Lepisosteus oculatus: one gene and its partner. The protein of the gene in region 2 purifies or fractionates together with the protein of the main gene of each other region. This does not show direct contact. Links are inferred from orthologs where the notes say so. Each region holds a gene or a part of one and is shown on either strand. Other genes may lie near its edges.

What was found. The genes of interacting proteins can lie anywhere in the genome.
Region 1: the proteins of igf2bp3 (region 2) and ilf2 purify together in Homo sapiens (affinity purification with mass spectrometry; 3 studies listed by BioGRID and IntAct, counting the BioPlex papers as one, with this or other methods). This does not show direct contact. The link is inferred for Lepisosteus oculatus from reciprocal best matches to the Homo sapiens genes IGF2BP3 and ILF2.

What each region holds. Positions count from the first base shown.
Region 1 is NC_090722.1:6,551,725-6,559,388, forward strand, and holds the start of ilf2 (interleukin enhancer-binding factor 2 homolog), read right to left. Parts: upstream 3,078-7,664; 5' UTR 2,964-3,077; coding exon 2,959-2,963; intron 1,519-2,958; coding exon 1,459-1,518; intron 1-1,458. Other genes in the region: uncharacterized protein, read left to right, coding at 5,206-5,744, 6,458-6,737; adar (double-stranded RNA-specific adenosine deaminase), read left to right, coding at 7,189-7,366. UniProt on the Homo sapiens protein: Chromatin-interacting protein that forms a stable heterodimer with interleukin enhancer-binding factor 3/ILF3 and plays a role in several biological processes including transcription, innate immunity or cell growth.
Region 2 is NC_090705.1:1,201,531-1,208,986, forward strand, and holds the start of igf2bp3 (insulin-like growth factor 2 mRNA-binding protein 3), read left to right. Parts: upstream 1-4,440; 5' UTR 4,441-4,770; coding exon 4,771-4,848; intron 4,849-5,342; coding exon 5,343-5,544; intron 5,545-6,654; coding exon 6,655-6,715; intron 6,716-7,456. UniProt on the Homo sapiens protein: RNA-binding factor that may recruit target transcripts to cytoplasmic protein-RNA complexes (mRNPs). This transcript 'caging' into mRNPs allows mRNA transport and transient storage.

The DNA.
Region 1 (7,664 bases), on a different chromosome or scaffold from region 2:
GGTGTGATTAACTACACTGTTAACCCCAGACTGCAGCACACTGTGGTGTGATTAACTACACTGTTAACCCCAGACTGCAGCGCACTGTGGTGTGATTAACTACACTGTTAGCCCCCGGACTGCAGCGCACTGTGGTGTGATTAACTACACTGTTAGCCCCCGGACTGCAGCGCACTGTGGTGTGATTAACTACACTGTTAACCCCAGACTGCAGCACACTGTGGTGTGATTAACTACACTGTTAACCCCAGACTGCAGCGCACTGTGGTGTGATTAACTACACTGTTAGCCCCCGGACTGCAGCGCACTGTGGTGTGATTAACTACACTGTTAGCCCCAGACTGCAGCGCACTGTGGTGTGCTTAACTACACTGTTAACCCCAGACTGCAGCGCACTGTGGTGTGATTAACTACACTGTTAACCCCCAGACTGCAGCGCACTGTGGTGTGATTAACTACACTGTTAGCCCCCAGACTGCAGCGCACTGTGGTGTGATTAACTACACTGTTAACCCCAGACTGCAGCGCACTGTGGTGTGATTAACTACACTGTTAACCCCCGGACTGCAGCACACTGTGGTGTGATTAACTACACTGTTAACCCCAGACTGCAGCGCACTGTGGTGTGATTAACTACACTGTTAACCCCAGACTGCAGCGCACTGTGGTGTGATTAACTACACTGTTAACCCCCGGACTGCAGCACACTGTGGTGTGCTTAACTACACTGTTAGCCCCCGGACTGCAGCGCACTGTGGTGTGATTAACTACACTGTTAACCCCAGACTGCAGCGCACTGTGGTGTGATTAACTACACTGTTAGCCCCCAGACTGCAGCGCACTGTGGTGTGATTAACTACACTGTTAGCCCCCAGACTGCAGCGCACTGTGGTGTGATTAACTACACTGTTAACCCCAGACTGCAGCGCACTGTGGTGTGATTAACTACACTGTTAGCCCCCGGACTGCAGCACACTGTGGTGTGATTAACTACACTGTTAACCCCAGACTGCAGCGCACTGTGGTGTGATTAACTACACTGTTAGCCCCCGGACTGCAGCGCACTGTGGTGTGATTAACTACACTGTTAACCCCAGACTGCAGCGCACTGTGGTGTGATTAACTACACTGTTAACCCCAGACTGCAGCGCACTGTGGTGTGATTAACTACACTGTTAACCCCAGACTGCAGCGCACTGTGGTGTGATTAACTACACTGTTAACCCCCGGACTGCAGCACACTGTGGTGTGATTAACTACACTGTTAACCCCCGGACTGCAGCGCACTGTGGTGTGATTAACTACACTGTTAGCCCCCAGACTGGAGCGCACTGCTGGATGCCAGGAGTCTGATTAACAACACTGTAAAACCCGGAGTGGATCAGTCTGCCACCGACGGGGTGTCCGACTGCTTGCACAGGTACAGTAAGCACGTCCCCCCCACCAGCAGCTACTCACCCCTGCGCCAGCCCTCCGCGGGCTCCAAACCGGCCCCCCCGGCCCCGCCCCCTGTCGCCTCTGGAGAGAGAGAGAGAGAGATGTTAGATGCTTCCATCACTGGATTGGAGAGACACCCAGCCAGCCGCCTCCACCAGGCCAGTCGGGACCAGAGCAGCGAGGCCACCCCTCTGCTCTCCGCGCAGAGAGACGCAAGCTCGAGTGAGCCCCACCGCGCCTGCAGAAGACCAGGTGCTCCAGTCACACGATCGGTCCACCTGGTTAATTCCATGACGGACTGTAGCACCTCCAGGACTCCGGGGTAACACCCCTACTCTTTTGGAGAAATGCCCTGGGATTTTTAATGACCACAGAGAGTCAGGACCTCGGTTTTACATCTCATCCGAAGGACAGCGCCTATTTACAGTATAGTGTCCCCGTCACTGTACCGGGCCATTAGGACCCACACAGACCGCAGGGTGAGCGCCCCCTGCTGGTCCCACTAACACCTCTTCCAGCTGCAGCCTCAGCTTTCCCAGGAGGTCTCCCCTCCAGAGATGGATGCTGAGCTCCGGTGGGCTGCCAGCAGGGTAACTGTGCGTGAACTGAAGTGAACAGTAGAGCTGCACAAGACCACGATAAAGATCCCGTGTCTTGAGGATGTAAGGGGTCGTTACAGAGTGGAGCCACAGGGCCCGCCCAGCCGCTGGGTATTTAGTAGCTAACTGACCCCCTGCAGCTTGTTCCACACACACACCCCCCTTTGTGTAAGGAAAGGCCACCTGTTCTGAATTTCTCTGTGGTCGCCAGTCGGTTCATTCACAGATCATCCTGCACGAGTCCCGCGGGCTCAGTGCCTCACAGGGCGATTCCAGACGGCCCTCCGACACTAGGTTCATGGATCTTTGACCTCAAGCCCCCCCCAGCACCCTGGCCGGTAGGATAAGCCACTAACCAGCCGGCACGCAGAGACTGGGACCCCCGATGCCGGACAGCCGCACGGTGTTGGAGGCAGGAACGTGCCTTGGCACTCGTCGGGCATACAGACCCTCGGTTCGCCCGCACCTCGGCGGCCAGGTCACGAAGCACACACCGGCCTCGGTGCACTGCCGGTCGGCGCCGTGTGGAAACCGGCACGGTGGGTAACAAAGAGCAGGCCCCAGACCGGCCGCTCGATTACAGCCATTCATTCATCCAGCGCCCGGCACAACACCCTCTTCCGAGAGCTTTTGTTTTAAAAAAAACGCCATTTTCCTTTTACACATCTTGTCACTAAACGCCAGGAAATGGAATTCGAAGGGGACGCAGTTTCAACTTGGGTTTTAGCGATAACATGCAGAGCCCACGCACGCGCGCACACACCCCCGATCCGACACGGGTACGCTAGCTAACTCGAGACCCGAGGCCTGATATGAGGCCTACTTGAGAAGCCGGATTTCAGTTCTGCCAGGACACACCGCGTTGTCAGATTGCGCACAGAAAAAAACAGTTTTCCCTTCCATCTCCTTTGAATTACTGTACCTCATTGCGTACGACGTCTTGACAACTTGAGGGAAGCCACAAAGAGAAATCTTCGGCCGCCGACCTGTCCGCTGGCGTTGCTTCACTACCCAGGGAAACAGCGTCTCCGAACGAGATCGACAACCCAGGGAACCAATCACAGGCGCCAAACGCTTTTCAACAGCAAGAGGCGATTGGTGAGGTGGGGTAGGGGGCGGGGCTCGCAGGCAAACATCCCACATGATTGGTTCTCGTCTAATAGTCTCTGATGCACTTTCGAATGATGACCACTAGAGCGCAGCACTGCAGAACACACTCGGACAATAACAAAGCGAGTGACTTTTCACCAGTGCAAGCGTCTAGCAGAGTGGCGCAGCGGAAGCGTGCTGGGCCCATAACCCAGAGGTCGATGGATCGAAACCATCCTCTGCTAACCATTTTCATTTTTCAGATGAGCCACGTATTAATCTCATTTTACAGCATAGAAACAACACGTAATATAAAAAGCAGTCATGCACACACCTGAAATACTTTTCACACAGGTAAAAGTGTTCCTCTGTATGTTAATGTTGTGTGAAACCTGTCGTAGAAACATCTGGATTAGGCTGAGGTACATCCCTGGTCAAATTTCCCATTGGCCCTTACCAATCATGGCCTCCTAATAATCCCCCTCTCTGAACTGGCTCCATCGCTCTGCTCTCCTCCCCACTGAGAGCTGCTGTGTGGGGAGTGTTCTGGCGCGCTATGGCTGCCATCGCATCATCCAGGTGGGGCTGCACATTGGTGGTGTTGGAGGGGATCCCCATTACCTGTAAAGCGCTTTGAGTGGAGTGTCCAGAAAAGCGCTATATAAGTGTAAGCAATTATTATTATTATTATTATTATTATTATTATTATTATTATTATTATTATTATTATTATTATTATTATTATCCCGGTGGGGCTACTAACTGGTGCTGGTGGAGGGGAGTCCCCATGACCTGTGAAGCACTTTGAGCGGACTGAGAAAGGCGCCATATACGTGTAAGGATTTATTATTATTGTTGTTGTTGTCGTGTGGAAGTTCAAGTAGGGAGCTGTGTCATCAATCGTAGGCTTCTAAGGAACCAGCAAAGGTTTATTCCATGCTGAAAAGAGAAGAAAAGGAAACGTTTCGGCTGTGGAGCCTTATTATCTTCTTCTTAACATTATAATTATGTGGTATTATACGGTACGGCACCAGAGGAATCACGATGGCGAGACTCGGTAAATAAGTGCAATAAAGGAATGCAAATAATAACAATAATAATAATAATAATAATTGCTTACACTTATATAGCGCTTTTCTGGACACCTACCTCTCTTTTATTTTTCTTTGTTATTTTTCCTTGTGATTTTACTGCTGTTCTGAACGTCTTATCAGCGCTCTTGTTCCCCTCGTTGATGTAATTTTAATGAACAATCACGATTAGAATTAATGGTTAGCTACAAAACGCGCTTCACGGCGAATAGAGACATTCGCCCTGCTGGCCACACGGGGGCGCTGTGGGGGAGCCCTTCCGGGTCACTCGCTCAGACTCTCGGCGAGGGAGGCGTTTGTGTTTTTATTATTTTTAGTTGTGGAAGATTTTAAACGACTTTATTTTAGTTTTTTTTTTTCCTCCGGGGAGCAGTCTCGTTTCCCGCTCGCTGTAGAGGGGGAAATGAGCGAGTCCAGTCTGCGCTGGGACACGGGGTGGGTGAAGACTGGCTGTTTCAGGACTGATCTCTTCCCACCTGCTTGTCTTTCTCCTGCTGTGATCCTCACTATAGCAGCATCCTTCTCTGTGTCTCTGTCGGTCCACTCCTGTCTCTCTCCCTGTGTCTCTGTCAGTCCACTCCTCTCTCTCTTTCTCCCTGTGTCTCTGTCTGTCCACTCCTCTCTCTCTCTCCCTGTGTCTCTGTCCACTCCTCTCTCTCCCTGTGTCTCTGTCGATCCACTCCTGTCTCCATGTGTCTCTGTCTGTCCACTCCTCTTTCTCTCTCTCTCTCCCCCCCTGTGTCTCTGTTGGTCCACTCCTCTTTCTCTCTCTCCCCCCCCCCGTGTCTCTGTTGGTCCACTCCTCTCTCCCCCCCCCCCGTGTCTCTGTCTGTCCACTCCTCTCTCTCTCCCTCCCTGTGTCTCTGTCTGTCCACTCCTCTCTCTCTCTGTCTCTGTCTGGTTCTTGACAGCTCTTGCTCTGCGCAGGTGCTGTGACTCTGGGTGACGGTTCTGTGGGGGTCTTCTCCAGAGCCCCGCCCTGGAGAGGGATGTCTGCGTCCGAGGGGGACGTCGGGGGCCGCGTGTGTGCGTTCCTGCGGACAGGGGCGCAGGGAGGCGAGAGGGGCCACGCGGCTGGGGAGATCGCGGCGGCCCTCGGGGGCCCCCCGGTCGGGGATGTCAACCGAGCGCTGTACGAGCTGGAGAGGGGCGGCGCGGTCCGCCGGACCAGGACAGAGCCGCCGCTGTGGAGCCTGGCGGGCTCGGAACCGGAGCCACGCGCGACCACCGGGGCGTCCCCTGAACCCGGGCCCCCGGACCCTCAGAGCGTCCTGAAGGTCCTCCTGTCGGCGGGCCCCGGCGGGGGGCTGCCCGCGCACCGGATCGCCCGCGAGCTCGGCGTCTCGCGGAAGTCGGCAAACCAGCAGCTGTACTCGCTGCTGCGCGGGGGCCAGGTGGACAAGACGGAGGGGCCCCCCGTGCTGTGGAGGCTGCCCAGCCAGACACAGGGCGAGGGGGCAGAGGGGCCGCGCACCGCCGCCCCCTGCAGGCCGGGCGTGCACACTGCGGCCACGAACGGGAGGGACAGGTATGTAGACGGGGGCAGCCGGCATGAGGCCCTGAGCGCTGACTGGCTGAACTAGCGGAGAGACTGGGGGCAGACTGCTGCCATGGTTACGTGGGCGTGAGCCGTCGCTGCCGAGGCGATGGGCGGGGCTGTGGGTGTGCCAGGCAGAGAGAGGGAGAGCGGTCCTGTGTCTCTGCTCAGCACTCTCGTCTTCCTCCTCTCTCTCCTCACTCCTCCCCCCTGCCTCTCCCTCTCCTCACCCCTCCTCCCTCCCTCTCTCTCCTCACCCCTCCTCCCTCCCTCTATCCTCTCTCACTTTCCCCCTCCCTCCTCCTCACTGCCTCTCTCTCCTCACCCCTCCTCCCTCCGTCTCTCCCTCTCTCCCCCCACCCCTCCTCCCTCTCTCTCCCCACCCCTCCTCTCCTCCTCCCTCCCTCTCTCCCCCCACCCCTCCTCTCTCCCTCTCTCTCCTCACCCCTCCTCCCTCCCTCCCTCTCTCTCCCTCCCCCTCCCTCCTCCTCCTCACTGCCTCTCCCTCCTCTCTCTCCTCACCCCTCCTCCCTCCCTCTCTCTCCCTCCCCCTCCCTCCTCCTCCTCACTGCCTCTCCCTCCTCTCTCTCCTCACCCCTCCTCCCTCCCTCTCTCCCTCTCTCTCCTCCTCCCTCCCTCTCCTCCTCCCTCTCTCTCCCTCCCCACCCCTCCTCCCCCTCTCTCCCTGTCTGCCTCTTTCCCAGTGGCCCTGTGCCCCGGCCTCAGCCAGCTGGCCCGGGGGAGGCCCACGCTCTGGCAGCCAGCTTCCAGCACCTGGCCCTGGGGGAGGGGACCCGCCGCGAGCCCCAGGACGTGCTGGGGGTGCTGGAGGGCCTTCCGTCGGGGACCACTGCCCCGGCTGCGCTCATCGCCCGGAAACTGGGGGTCCCCAAAAAAACAGCCAATCAGCACCTGTACAGACTGCTGCGAGAGGGCCGTGTCCGAATGGAGCAAGGGACACCCCCAAAATGGGGTGTTCCATGAGGGGCACCTAGCTGTTGTGCTTCAAAGGGAAGAGGAATAGAAGATGAATATAAAGATCGTTGCGTTGATGTACAGAACAGGTAGAAGGCCGAGTGGTCAGTTATCATGTCATTTTCTGTTTCTGGAATTAAAACCATTCAGCTTTTTGTTTCATTTTTGACCTGTAGTGGAGAACATGGTGCCTGTGCACTGAACTGACTGCAGGCAATAAACTTCTCCAAACAGAACTGGGCTGGAAATTGTGACTGTACTGCCTGACACTCACACTGTCACACTGACACACACACTGACACACTGACACACTCACACTGTCACAATGACACACACACTGACACACTGACGCACACACACTGACACACTCACACTGCCTGACGCACTGACACGCTGACACACTCACTGCCGAGCACTCACACTCACACACACTGGCCCTGCACATCGAGGCTGCCCCCAGATGTCTGAGCCTACACCCCCCTTCACAGGCTTCTACCCCTCCTCTCCCCTCAACCAATCCGTCGCCTGTTTTCGACGTCATCGCGCCGCTCTTCCTGTTTTCCGACGGCGAGGCGGTGGAGCCCACAACACTCTGCGGAGCCTGAGCTGCACTGCCAAACCCCTTAATCCATCTGCAGGTAGGGAGCGCCTTTCTCGTTCGCCCCGGGTGGGTGTTCGCGGAGACACGCGTGGCTGGTGTCGGGGAGTCGGGCCGGGGACGGCGGCGAGCCCAGTTGGTCTGCGCCGGGAGATGTGGCCCCCAGCCGCTCACGACCCGCCTGTGGTATCGCGACATGACGTTCGGGGTGCGTGGAGTGAAGGCTGGCGAGAGTGGGCTGGAGGCGGAAGAGGCAGGGGTCCCGGGTCGCGCTGAGGGGGGGGGTCGGTCGGAGCCGATACTGGCTGTGCATCTGTGCGTGTGAGAATTAGAGGCAT
Region 2 (7,456 bases):
TTCGTACAATTGCAAAAAAAAATCTCCTCCCCGCCCTGGCGGCAGGGTGGGTGCTGTGCGCGCAGAGGACGAGCTTTTCCTCTCCCGCTGCTGCGGCGCCTGTGTGAAGCAGTTTCCTCTTCTTCTCGGGGGGGCTGCGTGGTAACACTCGTGTTCTCTGAAAAGTAGACTTCCACGCCTGACAATACAAAGAAAAAAAAAACCCCACGCAGACGTTCTTCCCCGGGCGTGAGGGAGACGGAGAAGGTGCAGGTGTCTGTACAGCTCGGACGGGGTCTTCTCTACAGTATTAACCTCTGCTTGCTCCAGACCGGACCTAGTTTCATCCACTTGGACACGGGCCGCTTACCTGCTCCAGCTCCGTGTGAAGGGGAGAGTATCAAACTTCGGTCTGGGAGACAACGGCTCAAGTTCCCGCAGTTCCCCAAAAGGCAGAGTACTCGTATAGGAAAATAAAATCCCAACAGTATAGATCCAAGTGCTATTTAAAGATTGGTTTGCGCAGTTTCCGGTTATTTAATAAAATCCATGTACGCGTTATTTCTGTAAGATACAACGCAAGGCTCCACAACAAGCTCTAATTGCAGAACAGTGTGTTCAAGCACATTTTCAAATCTTTAGAACACCGAAGCACAAGTCCCTGGCTTTGCAGAACAGACAGCAGAATATTTGGTTTAATATGTGGAATACTTATTTAATAACTGGAAAATCACAAGGTACGTCGTTGAAGTTGTAGTGCTTTTCTATTTACATTTGTTCTGTTGACACCAGACTACCCGTAGCGATGTCTTTTCGTCGTAAAGCTTGAATGCTACGTAGATAATTTGATCTTTCTTTCAAAATCTTTCAAAAATATATTGAATATTCAGCCTGAGTGGTTTCATTCTAGCCTTTGCACATGGTCTCACACATACTTAAAATATCTTATTAAAAGACACAGCTATCTTGAACTGTTAGCATTTCTTGTTCCTCATCCGTTTTGAAACAGCGGAAGTTGAATGTCCGCTCCTAACGGCGGCGGCAGTGGTCTGAACCCGCGGCCGGGCCTGCTCACGGGACCGATACAGGACCCGATGGGCTGCCAATGACCTGACTCGTCAGGACGAGCCAGACGAGGGCCCCGGCCTTCAGAGGGCGGCTGGAGAACCGCTGGCGATTCCTCCAGGAGACTCCCTCTTCTCCCCCACGGCTGGCCGCTGCCACGCTCGACACGGAGCTGTGAGACGAACCCACAGGTCCCCAATGTGCCCGGAGCCGGGTCGATATCCCGGGAAGAACGGGAAGCGGTCAGTGGAGAAAGAAGACCGCCAGGCGCGGGGGGCCGGGCGGGCCTGTGGCACGGTCCAGGCCTGCGGGACCCGGGTTCACCCCTCTCACAAGGGTGGCGAAGGGCCTCGTCCCTAAACGCGCCCGAAGACGAGATGAAAGGGCCCCCAGCAGCGGAGACGTAATTGGGTCGTCCAGACGGTTAATATCAGTTATTAGTCCTTACTTGCTCATTCTGCTTCATGGGAGCCGGGGGAGAGGCTCTTTTCAAACGAGCGAGAAGGGCTGGGCTTTGCGATTGCACCTTTCAAAGAGACACGGGACGTGCACCGTCAATAGGTGTCATTTATATCCCGATCATGCAATTTAAGAAACGTTTTGTCAGCTCATGTTTAAAGCACCGCACCTGGGCGAGAGTGTCATACACTCTGAAGCACAGCAGCGCAAGACATTTTGTATTTCTGAGTAGGAACGCAGCAGCTACAGGTGACCTACATGTGTGCGAGGATCAGGATACAGGCTAGCGAACTGCACCAGACACACTCCCGGGCAGCATCGAACGCGCGTGTCGTGGACAAATCGGGTTCGGGTCCCGCGCCAGCCGTCTGGAAAGCGGCGCAGAGCACGCGGCGTGGGGCAAGATGGCTCCTGGTGATGGAATGCGCGGTCCGCTGTGACATCACCGGCAGATCAGGGCGCCCATGTCGGGGATGAGCGCTGCTGTGACTGACTCGGTGCACAGACATGTCTGCCGAGGGGAAACGCTCTGCTGCTCATTCCCATGCTTCAGAACGTCTCACAAAACCGTGAACCGCCCTGTAGTCTCTCCGCGGTGCTGTCAGCTGTCAGCATTTTCAGACGAACACGTAGCCTACATATAAGTCTCCACATGCGCGTTATATGCGACGTTTCGCAGTAAATGCAAGTTCTGTGTCTCCGCAGAAGCCTGTTTATCAACTAATTACACACAACACCAGAGCAGAAATAACTGAACATCTTCTCTTAGCCAAGAAAGAAAATAACATGTTATAAAAAGCCTGCCATTTTAACAATCCAAATACTTCAACAGTAATATTCTAAGATGCAGGATTCGACGTGTTGTATGCCGAATTATGTGGGCTTCTTCTCCAGCTTTCCCTGCGCCTCCCTCGTTCGATATTCGGTGGCGATCATCCGCGATGGGCGATGGACCCGAGAGCCGGGGGCGTCTGCGGTGCCCGCCCTGCGGGTCAGGGCGTCTGGAGGCCGAGGCGCCGAGCCTTCCACGCAGGCAGCTGCGAGGGTGCTGTGATTTGTGAGCGTTATTATCCACTGCCACCGTCAGCCCTCCACGAATCCCCCCTTAATTAGGGGGGAAAAAAAAACTTTAAACGAGCAAACGGTCAACGTGTCTTGGAAAGCTGTGAACCCCTTTAGTCTTGGTAGGGCACTGCCACCCCAGACAAACTGGCACACTGGCAAGACAAAGCCATCACCCGTGTGGCTCATCTAGAAGTGCGGGAATATTTACTAGCACGGGAACTACTAGTTGTCTGAAACTGGAAGAAAACTGAAGCGTTTTTAATCACGCACGCTGTTCTCAAAAACATCGAAATGGAGACGATTTCAAAATAAATCACCCATGTACTGTATATTTGGACAGGCGATACCGAGTTATGCGGTGTAGAATTCAACTTTGCATCGTATATTTCAGAGCCACCGGTAAACTACATCGTGCACTGAAACAAGGTTTTGTAGATCTACGAGTTAAATATAAAATATCCTTTTACTAGCAATAACTATGTCGTGCCAGCACCTGACCTCTCAGATCTCTTAAGAGACTGTCTTATTTTTGTGAACAGATTTGACAGGTAATTTCCTCTTTCCCCACACTTGCTACATTATGTGTTGTTTTTCTTTTTTAAAAAAGGGAGTTTTTCCCGGAGTTAACCGCATTACCTTTGAGCACGTTGAACTACTTGGAAATGTACAGCCTCAAAGGGGCACTGAAGGCACGATCCCGCTAAAGAAACTGGAATGAACGAATGATTGTTTTTCATTAAACCGCCCTCGTCGCCTTGTCTCTTATTCACAAATACACACATCCCCACCAGTGTTTCACTGAAACGACGCGACTCTGTTCAGCCGTGTGCAAAGAAAGGGAGCCCAGCTACAGATCCTCGCTCGCTCGCTCACGGCTCGATACACATGAACCTGTTTTCGCTCCCCTCTCTCTCACCCGTGTCCCCAGCCACCACTGGCCTTGGCGCTCCGCGGCCGCCCTTTCTTGGACGGAGCGGAGGGGCCTGATGAGCTGCGCGCCGGGCTCTGGTTTGTCACAGTCCTGCATTGTCTGCGCTGGGCTCGGCTACAATGGAGGCCGCGGAGGGGAAGACAGGAACCCTGACTGTACTGCTGCTGCTCCCAGAGCAGAGTATCCCCACCACCACCACCACCAAGACGGCGTCCCCGCATAAGGGCACGTCGGCTACAGCCACACGTACGCGTACATGAATATGTTCGTGGCCTATTCGTACGCGAAAAGGCCTAAAGAGGAGACTTGGGCAATGCGTGTTGTGGAGATCAGAAACACACACACAGGCTACAGTATCCCTCCCCCTCCCACCCCAAACCCTTCACGACGTGTCGGCCTCGCAGAAAATACTTATACACACTAAAGCGGAGGAATTGTTCCCAGAGAAAGTACTGCATTTACCATATGGTCACACTATCGTTGAGGTACCGCTTTATTTATGCAAAATGGGCCTGTTTTTAGTATCGAAATCTAAAAGGTTATTTTTATTTTATAACCTGGAAGTACTCGGACGAATCCCACTGCTATAGATCGGGGTTATATTCCTGCTCTTGAAAGAATGTCTGAAACTAGCACTGTGCGTTTGGGTACACGCAGACGCAGTTGTTTTAGAATGTGCGCCACAACCTTTTACTTACGAGGAAGATTAATGTCGTCTAGCTATGAATCGAGCAGAAGTAATTCAGAGGGATTCAGCCCCTTCCCCACCCCCCCAGAAACGACTGTGCGGCGGAGGCGAGCAGAGCAGAGCCCCAGCACGCCCTTCCCACTCGGGAAATGGTTGCTGTGGCGGGGGGCCCGACGGTGAGGAGGAACAGTCGGACCCGTGTTTTGAGTTCCGGCTATACGGGCACTGGGCAGCGTCACAAGCCGGTCGTTGGCCGAGGCGCTCGGCTCCTCCATTGGGAAGGAAGGAAGAGCGACGCTTTTAAAAATGTGGTTTGATTCTGCTCACGGCGACACCCGCCTCACGCGTGGAGATGCATGCCCGCGGGTGAGGGGGCTGGAGAAGACGCCTCTCGCCCCCAGCAGGCGAGGGAGAACACATCACCACAGCCGTGGCCCTCGCACACGCCTATAGGCGCTCTCCTATAGGGCGCCCGCGGCGCGCCCCCTCCCCCGCCGCCGTGCAGCGCCCCCCCAGCCCCTGGCAGGCCGGCCGGCCCAGACCCTCGCCCGCGACGCGGCTCCACTGTTTCGGCCAGCAGCCAATGAGAAGCGGAGCACCGAGAGAAAGGCACCCGCATGAGATCCAAGAGCGATACGGCACCACACAAGATATCCTTAATGTACGTAGGTTTTCCAGTACTAATCCTCTTCCCAGCTCCCCCTCCCCTGTCCCCACCCGACTCCCGTGGCATTTTCCCCAATCTAGTATTTAATTGAGGAACTGGGATTCCTCACGTGAGAAGTTGATTTGTAGTTTGAACACGTGGCTCATTCAAAAAGCCGGAATATTCAAGTGATTTTTCCTCTCGGTTTTATTTAGAGGCGGCGCCTACATTAACGTGTGTGACATTTTCACAGTCTGTCTGCTAAGGGGGTTCGGAGGACGACAAAAAGTAGTTTTCTCCTCCTTTTCGCCAAGCCCGCCATCCTTAGGAAAGGCTGTTATAAAATATTCTTGTTAACTTATCCTGGGGGAAGAGTGCGCGCGTGAAACATCCATATATAAATATACTCTATATAAATAACACTCTGGTTGGTAGAAGTCCGTTTCACAAAAAAGAGAGAAAAAAAAGGCTGTACATCTGAGCGCATAAGTCTGCCTTTTTTCTGAAAGGTTTGCATTTTCGCCGTGCAGCACACCATGAATAAGCTTTATATCGGTAACTTGAGTGAAGACGCGAGTCCCGTCGAGTTGGAAAGTCTCTTTCAGGAGTGGAAGATTCCTTGTAGTGGCCCGTTTCTCGTCAAGACTGGTTACGCGTTTGTGGACTGCCCTGATGAGAAGGGTGCTATGAAGGCCATCGACACGCTCTCAGGTAAGAAAGAAGACCAACCGCCGGCGAACCTGGGTGGAAACCGAGTGCTCAAGAGTGTGTTTTGTTTTTGCTAATTGCTGCGGCGATCGTTTTAAATAAGAAAGATCCGTGCTCATTGAAACGAGGCGTGTGTGTGTATATATGTGTGTGTGGGTACCTAGGCTCCCCTTGTCTCGTACACTACCGACCTCGGCAGGTCTGGAGCCCGGCGCACGGGGCTCAGTTAGCAGTCCATGTTCTGATTACAATTGAAAATAAGCACTGCGATTGTTAGGCTCATACAACAAGTTTCAATTATCAATTACCGGGGGCCGAGGAAGCTGAGCGCCTGAGCTGCTGCATTTTACGTACAAATAACCAGCGGGCCAAGAAGGCCGATGACAGAGAACAGTGTACTTATGCAAAGTATTTACCTTCTAAACAAATTTTAATTACTATATTTATAGGTTCTCAAACAAGCCTGAAGTTTTTTTTTCCCCGCATTTTTTATATCGGGCTTCGTTCAAATAAATACCACCCTCTACAGAATTGTCTTTTTCGAGAAAACTGATATATCTAACTTAAAAAAAATGTTTTTAAATGTGTTTTGTTTAGAGTAGCGTGGCTACACTGGTGGTAGGTCCTGTGTCTTATTGTGCATTGCTACAACGTAACGAAAGGATCAAATACTTAAGGGATTTTTTGTAACGAATTTAAAGAAAAAAACACAGCTTGTAAATTCGAATCGAATACCTTTTGGTGGAAACTAATCTCTAAAAAATAGGATTTATATGACTGTGTAAAAAATATTCAACCTCAATTTACAAAGCCACTCAAATAGTCGTCTTGTACTTTGTTGTGGATATTTCCGCGGGGCAATTCGTCAGCCATAGCTGTTGTACTTCACTTGTGAAAAGTGTAAATTAGACCACACTTTGTTCGTGTTGTTTTTTTAAATCTTACGCTTAACATGACGATGGGAGTTAATTAACATTTTAAAAGGCCGAGTGATGACTGAAATTATCGATATTCTCTGAAAAGCCATCTCTCCATTTTCTCCTACAGTGCATTTTCCCGCTTTACTGGCACAGCAAAACTTATTTTTTTTTGTTTTTTTAATTTGTTTTCAAGGTAAAGTAGAACTCCACGGAAAAGTTATAGAGGTGGAACACTCAGTCCCGAAAAGACAAAGGTAAAGAATTTGCAACTCCCTCTGCTTGAACAACAGTTATTCATGTGGACTACCTGCTGTGTTTCGTTGTTTTATTTTTTAAAAAAAAACACATCAGTCTGCCAAGTCTTTTGAAATGAATATAATCTATCAATGATCATTTATGTATTTGACATCTGATTTCCCTCTAACTAAAAATCAACCTAACAAATTAACTTTACAAGCCAGTCTGTGGTCTTCGTGTGGATTTTAAAACCAAGTGAGGCACAGGCCTGCTGATATTTTCACCAAGGCAATACTGGGGCGTTAGCAGGAAATGAGGCAGGTTTTGCATTAATTTTAGCAAGCACGTGTGCATTTTAAATATTTGGTGTGTGTGGTGGGCTCTGAATTTGGGGTGCTTCAGGGACTTTCGTTTGTTCTGATGGTTAGGGTGACAAGAGGAGAGGTGGGGATGTCTGTGCATAAAACTGAAAACATTTTTTGAATAAATTGTTTTTGTTCGCTCACATCTGGCATCCTGCTCTCATTCCTAAATGTATACCTTCGCCTAACAAAATATTCTCCAGCGCCCGACGTGATCGTGAATCGAGGCTATTTATGAAACCCTTTCCTGGTGAATTAATGCAGAGACCGCAGTGGGTGTTTTCTTGAAAATGGTGTCGCCTAGCGAACCTCCGGACTCTCCATTTCACGTGCCACATGGCTTCCCCTGGCTTTCCTCGCGCAGGCTGGGGTGCAGGGAAGCGGCACAGTGGGTTT